Linked DNA regions of Xenopus tropicalis. The protein of the gene in region 2 interacts with the protein of the main gene of each other region in a biochemical or structural test. Links are inferred from orthologs where the notes say so. Each region holds a gene or a part of one and is shown on either strand. Other genes may lie near its edges.

Region 1 (3,654 bases), on a different chromosome or scaffold from region 2:
CAAGGTGAAGAGCATCATGACCTTACTCCTTTCATCTGGACTATAGCTGTAAACCTATTTGTAGAATACATTGTAGAATTAACAGAACTAGGAAAATACCCCTTTTCCATTTTTAAAATTCTAGAAATGGATACAACATTAACCAATGATGCAAAGAAAACATGTTGGCTGCTGACTATTCAATACTATTCAAAACTGTGACAGGGGGTCAGTTCACCTTTTTACAGGGAGAGTCGAAAACAGGGAATTATTTGCAAAAAGATGCATTCATTTTTTTTCAAGAAAAACACATTCATTCCCTTACATTTGAGCCTATTGACATGATCTTAAAGACATTCTGGACATTAAAGGGATATTGCACCTGGAATTAAAAAACAATGCACTGGGAAGGCCTGTTAAATGGTGCACTCTCTCTTTATGATTGGCATTAGCAGGTACTTTTACTTTGTGTAAGTTTGAATTGCACAGAATCGGAAAAGTTCTAGTGCTTTGATTAGTAAGTGGATCAAGGCTCTTTTGCACTGTGTAGTATCATCACACCCAAAGTATATACATAAGATACTATGGGGCCGATTCACTAAAGGTCGATAAAACGAGTGCTATTTATAACATGCGTTAAAAATTTTATCGCGTCTTATTTTTTGCGACTTAATACACGATTCACTAAAAGGACAGGCGTCATAATTAAGACGCGATGTTCTTTGCATTATTTAACTCGCGATGAGTTTTCTTGCGTTATTTTCTGCCTCGTGCATTATTTCCCACTGTGTGCGATATATTTTGCCGCGTGCGATATTAGCGTATGATTTTATGCATGTAACCATTACTTTTGGAAAATTGCTTTTCTGAAAATTACCATTTGCCTGAAAACTGGAGGATGCATCACTCTAGGGCCAACACATACCTGAAAAAATCCCACTGCAAAGTCCATGTTGTGTTGCCAAAAGCTCACGAACCACAATTCTTTAAGTACTGCCTGCCCCAAGTAGGTGTTAATTTTCGCACAGACTAATGCGATATTTAGCGTATTTAAGCTTCATATGTGTTTGTGAATAATGCGTTAGTATTATATCTATTCTAGAATTAACGCAATGCGAGGTAAATAACGCATTGCGCTAATTTAGTGCGTTTTTTTGTGCATGCGATATGCGTCTTAGCGCATGCTAAATGACTTTGATGAATCAGTACTTATTTATCACATGCTTTTTAACGCAAAAAAGCATGCGATAAGCGTTATCGCACTTTAGTAAATCGGCCCCTATTTTAAACCTAATAGAAGTTGGATGTGTCATAGATGGTGAACCTTGTGCATAGTATGTAAATGGCTCATCTACTGAAAGCATTGGACTGAGCTACATTTAAGTCTTCCAAAAACATTCTGATTTGAAGCTTGGCTGTATATGTTATGTCACCCTTGCTTCTCATGATAATGTTGCACTGTGCTCCATTCTTTTCAGCCTTTCATAGTTTTCCTTAGTTTACTGTTTATAAGATGCCATGGGATTTCCTCTATCAGTGTAATAATATGATATATTAATCTGCCAATTTTTAGTTTCAAGTTTTTTTCTTAATAAACGCCATGGCCTTTTACATTTCAGTGAAGCCAGTAATTCCGCAATGTAGAGTGCCTAAAGCTGTCCCAGTGGGCAAATCTGCTGTACTTCATTGTCAAGAGAATGAGGGTTACCCAAGTTCTGTGTATCGCTGGTACCGCAACAGTGAAGCTCTACCTGATGACTCAAAATCAACTTTGAAATTCCAGAACTCATCCTTTACACTTGACCCTAAATCAGGTACTCTGGTAAGTATCTAGTATAGTTTGTAATTGTCAGATCTTTTTTTTTTTTATTAGAACCACACTAAAATTAAAGGACTTAACCCCTATAAATATCCAATCACATAATCATCAAAAAATCTAAATAGTCAGTATTTATTCATTAAAATACCTATCCCATAAAATCAAACACAGGGAGTTTGCAATAAGTGAAAAATTTAACAACTAACAGTGCTCTTCCTCCGGGACAAACCACTTTTTCACTTATTGCAAAGTCCCTGTGTGTGCGGCCTTTATATATAAATATAATATATATATATATACACACAAATAAATTCAAATAAAACTAGAAAGGGAAGTTTGAGAACAAACTTCATGTTGGGTTGAAAAATGTGAAGTCACTGAATGAAATCTGATTGTTTGTTGACTCCGCCCACTTTTTCTAACCTTGGGCCACAGTTACATAGTAAGAACCACTGTGAAAAGTTTGGGGACCCTGGTTTTAATAGTGTCTGAATGGCAGCAATTTAAATTTCCCCACTGAAAGTCAACAAGTGAAATCTGATTTGTGGTTGGTAGCTGCAAAGTTTAGGGACCCTAGGATTAATAGTTAAAGAACGGCGGCAGTTTAAATTTAAACCAGTAAAAGTCAATAGGTAAATTGTGGTTGGTGGGTGTGCCCACTTTTTGTAACCTTGAGTTGAAGTCACCCTGTGACAAACAGTGGGCACCCTGGCATAAATAGTGTGAGAATGACAGCATTTTAAATTTAAACCAATAAAAGGATGAAATCTGATTGGCTGTTAGTGGCCCAACCCACTTTTCCTGGTCCCCCAGTGACCAGCTTTGCAAAAAACACTGCATAAAAATTGTGAGACTGACAGCATTTTACACTTCACCATTGAAAGTAAATAGGTGAAATGCGATTGGCTGTTGGTGGCTCCGCCCACTTTTTTCTAACTTTGAATGGCAAATACCCAGTGACTAACTCTGAAAAGTTTAACAACCCTGGAATTAATACTTAAATAATGGCATCAGTTTAAAGTTTAAATATAAACCAATGAAATTTAATGGGTGGAAATGGATTGGCTCTGCCCACTTGTTTTAACCCTGAATATGTAGTCAGCCTGTCACTGATTGTGTAACATTTGGGAACCCTGACATAAATAGTGTGAGAAAGGCAGCATTTTAAATTTAACCAAAAAAAAAAACCAATAGGTCTAGTCTGATTGGCTGTTGGCTCCACCCACTTTTTTAAACCTAAAAATGCAGTCCCCTAGTGACCTGGTGTTAATACTGTGAGAATGTCAGCAAGTTGAATTTCCTCTTTGAAAATCAATAGTTAAAATCTGATTAATCCCCATTAAAAGTCAATAGGTCAAATTTGATTCACTGTTTGTGGCTCCGCCCACTTTTTCTAACCTTTAACCGCAGTTACCTGGTGCCTAACTCTGCAAAGTTTGGGGACCCCGGTGTTATTACTGTGAGAATGGCAGCAGGTTGGATTTCCTCCAAGTCAATAGGTAAAATCTGATTGGCTGTTCACAGCTCTGCCCACTTTTGGGCATCCAACAATCATCATATTTTCATTCAGGCTGACCCCATGACTATGTGATTCAAGTTTGGGGAGTGTAGCCTTAAAGCTGTAAGATTGGCAACAGTTTCAATTTCCCCATGAAAGTCAATGGATGAAATTTTATTGGCTGTTGTTGGCCCTTCCCACTTTGGGGTCATCCAACAAAGTCGCTGTTTCATTCGGGGTGACCCCATGATTATGTTATTCAAGTTTAGGGAGTGAATCTTCAAAGCTGTAAGTGTGGCAGCAGTTTGAAAGTCTTCCCTGTCAAAGTCAATGGGAAAATTGGGGTGTTTGGGGGGCG
Region 2 (3,654 bases):
TACAGAGAAAAGGGAATCATTTAACTATTAAATAAACCCAATAGGGCTGTTCTGCCCCCAATAAGGGGTAATTATATCTTAGTTGGGATCAAGTACAGGTACTGTTTTATTATTACAGAGAAAAGGGAATCATTTAACCATTAAATAAACCCAATAGGACTGTTCTGCCCCAATAAGGGGTAATTATATCTTAGTTGGGATCAAGTACAGGTACTGTTTTATTATTACAGAGAAAAGGGAATCATTTAACCATTAAATAAACCCAATAGGGCTGTTCTGCCCCCAATAAGGGGTAATTATATCTTAGTTGGGATCAAGTACAGGTACTGTTTTATTATTACAGAGAAAAAGGAAATTATTTTTATAAATTAGAATTATTTGCTTATAATGGAGTCTATGGGAGATGGCCTTTCTGTAATTCGTAACTTTCTGGATAACGGGTTTCCGGCTAAGGGATCCTATACCTGTATCTACATTATGATATATATGATATAGACTTATACATGTAATACAGTAACAGGTGCAGTGTTTGCTCCTGTTATGGTAACCCTAAGCAACCAAACAGCAGGACCAATTACAGTTCTGCTGTTTGAAAGTTAACCAATGATTGGTTGCTATGGGTTACAATGCATGTTTTATGACATTGCTTCCTGCGCCACAGGTCCAATTCATTACCGGGTTTAATACAATAAATCAGTATGATGCATGACCCCCAAGATGAAGCACCTGTGACCACAGATGGACTCAGAACCCCCAGTATGAGCCGTGCTTGTCTAGACGACACTGCTTCTTGTTTACAGATTGCCATGATCCTTTGGGGAGTTAGCAATTTAGCTTAGCCTGCTCAGGGAAAGTGCTGAAAGATAAAGAAAATGGTTCTGTTTTTATTGCAAATTCATTGCTACAATCCACTAACAGCAGGGGTAAGTTTTGAGGTTGTTTTTACAGCCCAGCATGATAATCTAATACATTCCCGCGTTCTGCTTTTATACCGTGTGTTGTGTGACTGGATTTTATATCCATCCTCACTCCTTTCTCTCAACAAGATATTCCCTGTGCACAGGCAGAAATATACACTAGTAAATCCTGTAGTGCTCATGTACCCAGAACGTTAAGCACATCTCATTTATCATGTACTTTTCGTAAATATTTATAAAGCTGTTGGCCAATAATTCATTTAGAGTGCAAACTGCCAGTGTAAAACTGACATTTATGGCATTACCTGTATCGTAAAAATACAACATGAAAGGCTCTAGGTTTAATATTGCCAGTTAGCCAGCCTGTCATAAAGTCCAGCACGCTTGCCTTGGATCATACATAGGGCAAGATTAGATCTATCTATACTCTGGGACAAGCTCCTATAAACATAGATGTACATTTACTTAGGGCCCATTTTTCCCCTATCAAATCTTTGTGATGCCCAATCACTAGACCAACGACCATCCGAGTATCAGGTAAAACTTCTCATTTTATTGGAACTTGATTAAAACCTTATTGGGAATTGTTATAAGGTTATGGAATCATCACATGTATTTAAACGCATGCTGAACAATGCCACTTGGACCCCATGTATGTGCCGGGGGTTACCCGCTGGCTATAGTCTTCTTCCCATTTGATCTGTAGACCCTGCATGCTCGACTGGATTAAACACACCGTACCCCAACTGTGCAGTCAGACTTTATAGACAAAATCTCATAAAAGCTAGACTTTGTCAGATTCCTAAACACTGCAACTTAAGATCAATATTTATTTATTAAAACCCACAAATCAAATCCCCCCCAGGTTAGAATCCAGGAGGTTTCAACAGATGCTAACAGTGAGTTTGCGGCACAGACAATCTTAAAAGTCCTCTTATTGCTCCTTCTTTTGTACTAAAATAAAGTATGCAAATAAAACAACTGTCAGGTTGGCTTTATGCACTCAGGATAGCATTTATTAAATGCTCCTCTAATGTAAAACCACTCGCAGCACTAACGGCTTCCCCTGCGATGAATGAATAACACATGTTAATATGCAGGGGAAGAGGCCCGGGGGACACCCTGGCAAACGTGTTAGGTCTTAGACACCTTACAGTCTCTTGCCCTGGGGGAAAACATATTGGTTAAATGTGGCCATAGCATTTTATAGTCCGACATAATAGGGTTTCGTAGCGCACTACAGAGCTCTTAAACTCTGGCGTTTTCTCATGCGAGTTATTAAGCACAATAAACAGCCCTATCATAGGTTGAATGCACTCGACTCATTTATGGCTTGTATGAAATACAAATTCCTACCTTCATGCACACCCATAGGCTATTAGCTGACCTCAGGTCTTACAGATGGAAACAAATGGGAATAACAGTCCCTATCTTTGAATAGGATTCATCTGTTTTTCTTTAGCTTGCCTCTACCCCCTTCCTTTTTAAAATTTCCCCTTTGCATCTTTCTAATGGAAACAATAAAAGCTTAGTTTGTAATAACCTTCTGTCGTATGAAGGTGGTACTGTCTTAGTTTGCAGCCTTAGTTGGCATTGTGTCACTGGCTGTCTTGCTTCCATAGCCCTCCTGTTCTATAATCTTTCACAAAGCCGAGTGACCTAGAGGGGATATGGAAATGGCATCATAAGGTCACAGGGAAATAAGTTTTCCTTGTAGAAAGATCAATAGCTGATTGTCTGAACAAAGAGAAGGTAGCAATCACAGTCAGCTGTTGGCAGGTGTTGGCTACATGCCATATTGCATGCCGTCTTGCCACGCAAGCGTCTCTTTAAGCAGAAGTTGCCAGTAGTATCATTAATAAAGTCACATTTACGATGAGTGCCATAGGCGGTACAAGTATGGCCACTGGATAGTCTCTTGTTCTGTGTGGCCAGCTCAGCAAGTGGGTTCTCAGTTAAGTTCTCAGAATGGACTTATCTCATTTAGCACAATACTGGGATTTTCTGTTGCTGTAGATAGTAGAATTATGTGTAAGGATCCATAACTATCTGTTTTGTCCAGTCAGTTCTATTTTAGTGCATTTGCCAATCTGTATTCCCTGTTTTGTTGTTCTAGAGCACAGAATATGTTCCGCCAAGCCATGCGCTCACCCATAATCTGGTTCCACGTGGTCCCAGCGGCAAACAAAGAACCATATGAACAGTTATCTCAGAGCGAGAACAACAGCTACTACTCCAGTCAGCACGTGCATGATTCCCAGTACATGGACTCCAGGAGTTTCTCTAGCCCCGGCCCTGATCACACTGCGCAGAGAATGCCCAGGCAGAGCAGCCAGGCCGATCCAATGGACTCTTACTCTCATCTACCTCAAAGTATCAATTCAGCAGGAAAACCACCCACTGGCCTGACCACATCCCCGCAGCGTGCAGTCAGCCCCCCCACCAACAGCGCTTACGGTACCAAAAAGGGAAAGAAGTTTTACATTCAGCTGAAGAAAGGTAAGTAGTGCAACAATAGCCATAGCTTGAAGGCTTGAATGTTTTATTACAGGTAGGAAACCATAAATGCCTCTGTTGGGCACCATCTATAGAGAGAATGTAAGTGGGGATGAGGGTTTAAAGATAAAATAGGCACCCCATTTTAACATGAGCTTATCAGTTGGGCTTAATTAAAAAAGGTGCATAAACAGTACCTGAACTTACAAGTGAATATAAATGTATTTATTTTTACACAGAC
Region 3 (4,212 bases), on a different chromosome or scaffold from region 2:
TGAACTTTTATGATGCTTGTGTTGACTTGGGCTCACAAGTAAGAAAGGATGGGGACCCCTGGCTTAAAGGGAACACTGGTTATGTGACCAAAAAAATGACATTTTTTTGTCTGGATTCTGCATTATATATTGCTCAGATCTAAATATGTAATTCATTTTTCCAGAAAATCTTTTGGAGGATTGAGCAGTATGGTGTCTTAGTGGTTAGTACTGATTGTAGTGCTAGGGGTCCTCAGTTCAAATCAAGACAGGGCGCTATCTGCAAGGAGTTGTATGTTCTCCCTGTGTCTACAGGATCAGACTAAGCCGGTGGGACACTGAGAAAAAAACCCGGTGGGCCCCACTGACCCAGACCCCATCACCACCGGGAAGCATCATATCTCCCCTGCTGCTCTCCCTCCCCAGATTGAGCCTAGGTAAATATGAGATATATGCGCTGGGGAGGGGTGGATGGCAGTGGTCGGGTGTCAAGGGCCCCTAAGGGTGTTAGGGGGCCCCAGTGGGCCCCACACACCCCAGTTCCACCCTGTGTGCAGTGTCGGTCGAGATCCGATCCCCCCAGGGTGCTCCCATGATTCGCCATCTCCCTCCCCCGACCCGACGCAGGTAAGTTTCTTTTAGGAGAGCTCGGGGGTGGGGGTCGGAGGGTGTTGGGGGCCTCTGCGGGGGGGGGGGGGCAGTGAAGGCGGCAGGGGCCATTTGGGGGTGCAGGGTCTCCTGAGGCAGAAGTCCCGGTGGGCCCTGCACCCCCTAGTCTGACCCTGCCTGTGTGTTTTTGTGGGTATCTTTATAAATACAGGCCGGTAATTTATCAGTAGGGGCCTCAGATTGTAATCTTCACTGGGGCAGTGAGTGATGTATAATCTCTGTAAAAGCTCTGTATAAATAAATGATACTAAAGATTAGGATTTGGAGCATCCCCAATTCTTAGAACAAATATCTGAAAGCATTTTTATCACAAAGCATTTGTTGGTTTCCGCAGCCACACTCCATTATTTGTTACAGTACAAAACACAAGCTTTCAAAAGCGACGCAGGGTATGCTGGGATTTGTAGTCCAACAGACAGGTAGGACCAATAACAACGCTAAAGTATATTCTGTACATAGTGTTTTTATGCAGCGGAATGAGCAGTCTGATAGAAGAATGAAGAAGAATGGAAGTGGTTTATAAATAAATGTACTTTCACACTTCAGCCAGCGCTGAGCAGGGAGAGATTACAGGGAGGGGATGCAGAGCAAGCGGTGGTTGGAGGGCGCTATTAGCGGCGCTGCGGGTAGGGGGCGCCAGAGCGGCACATTCCTGTGCATCCCGCACTTCCCCGTTACAAGGTGCCTGCCCCTCTCACTGTTGGCTGTGCCGCTCGGTCTGCGCTTATTCTCTCATCTAACGGACTCGGAGGATGCGGTCTCCAGCCTGTGCGATCTTTCTCGGCTACTTTGCGGCGCTTTGCTGTAAGTTTCTGGGATCTTTACTGAACTCCGCTGCTTTGGGCGCTTTCTGTCGGCACTTTGTGCTCTGTGTGTGTCGGGGGGTTGTGAAATCCGGGCTGGGAGCCTTTGTCCTGCCTGCCTGCCCGCCTGCCCGCCTGCCCACAGGGACCCTCACTCCCATACTTTCTGCATCCCCCCTCATGGGCTACATGTTTCCCTGCTCTGCCTGCATGCCGGGGATTGGCTGCTGCTACTGCCAAATTCTCTATTAGGCTATTAGTGCCGGTCTGACTTAGAATATTATATACTGCTGGCTCCATGATCCGCTATTACATCATTATTGCTCTGTGTGACTTTATTTATTATATTTCTGCCCCCAGGATTCTGTATGACATCATTAGTGTTCTGTGTGACTTAATTTATTATATTTATGACTTTGGGATTCTGTATGACATCATTTCTGCTCTATGTGACTTAATGTATTATATTTCTGACTTCAGGATTCTGTATGACATCATTAGTGTTCTTTGTGACTGAATTTATTATATTTCTGACTTCAGGATTCTGTGTGACATCTTTAGTGCTCTGTGTGACTTTATTATAATTCTGCCCCCAGGATTCTGTATGACATCATTAGTGCTCTGTGTGACTTTATTTATTATATTTCTGACTTAGGGATTCTGTGTGACATCATTTCTGCTCTGTGTGACTTAATGTGTTATATTTATGACTTCAAGATTCTGTATGACATCATTAGTGTTCTGTGTGACTTAATTTATTATATTTCTGACTTCATGATTCTGTATGACATCATTAGTGTTCTGTGTGACTTAATTTATTATATTTCTGACTTCATGATTCTGTATGACATCATTAGTGTTCTGTGTGACTGAATTTATTATATTTATGACTTCAGGATTCTGTGTGACATCATTAGTGCTCTGTGTGACTTTATTGTATTTTTGACTTCAGGATTCTGTATGACATCATCAGAGCCCTGTCTAACCTAGAATATTATTTTGCCAACTTTTATAAGAAGCCTGGCACATTTTAACCATATTAAGTCCACCAGCCTACTCCCAGCATGCACAGTGGTTATTAAATATGGGCATCAACTTAAAATGGACTTGATATTCTGGTACAGACTGTTCATACTTTTTCAAGATTCCAGTATTTACTCTTAGGGTGAAGACACAGAGCTACTAGTAGCAGCTACAGAAATAGACAATGCTGACTATGTATTGATAATTGAGGCATATCTCAGTATTGTCTATGGCAGGGTATTTTCTGGCATTTAGTAGCCGTGAAATGTTGCTGCTACTAAGTAGCTCTGTGTGCCTTCACCCTTAGAGTTTAAATGAGCAGTGGCACAAAGGGTGGACTGCATTACCTGTGCAATGTAGCGGAGCATTGATAAGGGCGTAGATATGTTCTTACCTTTGGGGGAACCTTGGGTATTGTATTTGCAGCATGTGCTTCCCTGTGTGACTGGGGTATATACAGGTATCGGACCCCTTATCCGGAAACCCATTATCCAGAAAGTTCCGAATTACGTAAAGGCCATCTCCCATAGACTTCATTTTAATCAAATAATTCACATTTTCAAAAGTGATTTCCTTTAATAATTTATCTGTAATAATAAAACAGTACCTTGTACTTGATCCCAACTATATATATATATATATATATATATATATATATATATATAGATATAATTAATCCTTATTGGAGGCAAAACAATCCTATGGGGTTTATTCAATATTTAAATGATTTTTAGCAGACTTAAGCAGTGGAGATCCAAATTACGGAAAGACCCCTTATCCGGAAAACCCAGGTCCCGAGCATTATGTATAATGGGTCCCACACCTGTACTTAGTGCCAGTTTGGACTGTGACCCAAAGGGAAGTCTTTTTGGACACAAGTGGTTTATGCCAAACTGATTTACAGCAAATGGCTTTAAAGGGAGCTATCCGTTGTTATACTGCTGTTTAGGTTTATTTTATCCTAATATTTTAGGGGGGTAACAAGTGTATCTGCCATACCCAGCGGGGGCTCTCAGGCTCCAATCATTTTTCCAGGATGGTAGTTCAGCCACCTGGGGGATACAGTTCTGCAACAGCTGGGGGGCCAACAGGTTAGATATGAGTCTGGGTTACACCCTGCATGCCTCTGTATCCCTGCAAATAAACTGGATTATTTGATGGTAAAAATAAAGGAGATGGTTAGCAGATCACATGGTTTAAATGACTTTGCTGTTTCCAGCCATTAGGGAAATAGATGCACGTGTGCGACGGGGAGATTAGGGGACGCGCTGCTGCTGCTGCTGCTAAATCCACTCTCGGAAAGTTTCTTTGCTAGTGACCCGTTTCTCTCTCTCACACATCTATATTCAGGTTGCTCTGAGTGACCTATTTCTCAGTTACATATATGTACAGGTTGCTCAGCTCTCACACACGTGTGTACAGGCTGCCTGTGTCTCATTCACATGTATGGGCAGATTGCGAGTGGCCGGCGTCACATTCACATACATGTGCAGATTGTGCAAGATAGAATGTGCATCTTGCTCCATTTTTAGCATTTTTAAACTGTCTTTCCATTGCTCCTGCAATTTTTAGCAACTTTGCAATATACATCAATGAAAAATATGCAGCCTTTTTATGATTTTTAATGTAATAATATGGTTTGGAACAGTTCCCTAAGCCCCGCCCCCTGTTCCCCTGCTGATCTGGCTGACTACTTTTCAGTCTCAAAAAAAATGTAACAGTAGTCGCCTGTCCTCAG

The links.
Region 1: the proteins of pard3 (region 2) and jam3 form a complex in vitro, tested with the Homo sapiens proteins (2 studies listed by BioGRID and IntAct, with this or other methods). The link is inferred for Xenopus tropicalis from reciprocal best matches to the Homo sapiens genes PARD3 and JAM3.
Region 3: the proteins of pard3 (region 2) and jam2 form a complex in vitro, tested with the Homo sapiens proteins (2 studies listed by BioGRID and IntAct, with this or other methods). The link is inferred for Xenopus tropicalis from reciprocal best matches to the Homo sapiens genes PARD3 and JAM2.

What each region holds. Positions count from the first base shown.
Region 1 is NC_030683.2:67,503,870-67,507,523, reverse strand, and holds part of jam3 (junctional adhesion molecule C), read left to right. Parts: coding exon 1-4; intron 5-1,598; coding exon 1,599-1,801; intron 1,802-3,654. UniProt on the Homo sapiens protein: Junctional adhesion protein that mediates heterotypic cell-cell interactions with its cognate receptor JAM2 to regulate different cellular processes. Plays a role in homing and mobilization of hematopoietic stem and progenitor cells within the bone marrow.
Region 2 is NC_030682.2:21,860,431-21,864,084, forward strand, and holds part of pard3 (partitioning defective 3 homolog), read left to right. Parts: intron 1-3,033; coding exon 3,034-3,416; intron 3,417-3,654. UniProt on the Homo sapiens protein: Adapter protein involved in asymmetrical cell division and cell polarization processes. Seems to play a central role in the formation of epithelial tight junctions. Targets the phosphatase PTEN to cell junctions.
Region 3 is NC_030678.2:18,672,681-18,676,892, reverse strand, and holds the start of jam2 (junctional adhesion molecule B), read left to right. Parts: upstream 1-1,377; 5' UTR 1,378-1,400; coding exon 1,401-1,452; intron 1,453-4,212. UniProt on the Homo sapiens protein: Junctional adhesion protein that mediates heterotypic cell-cell interactions with its cognate receptor JAM3 to regulate different cellular processes. Plays a role in homing and mobilization of hematopoietic stem and progenitor cells within the bone marrow.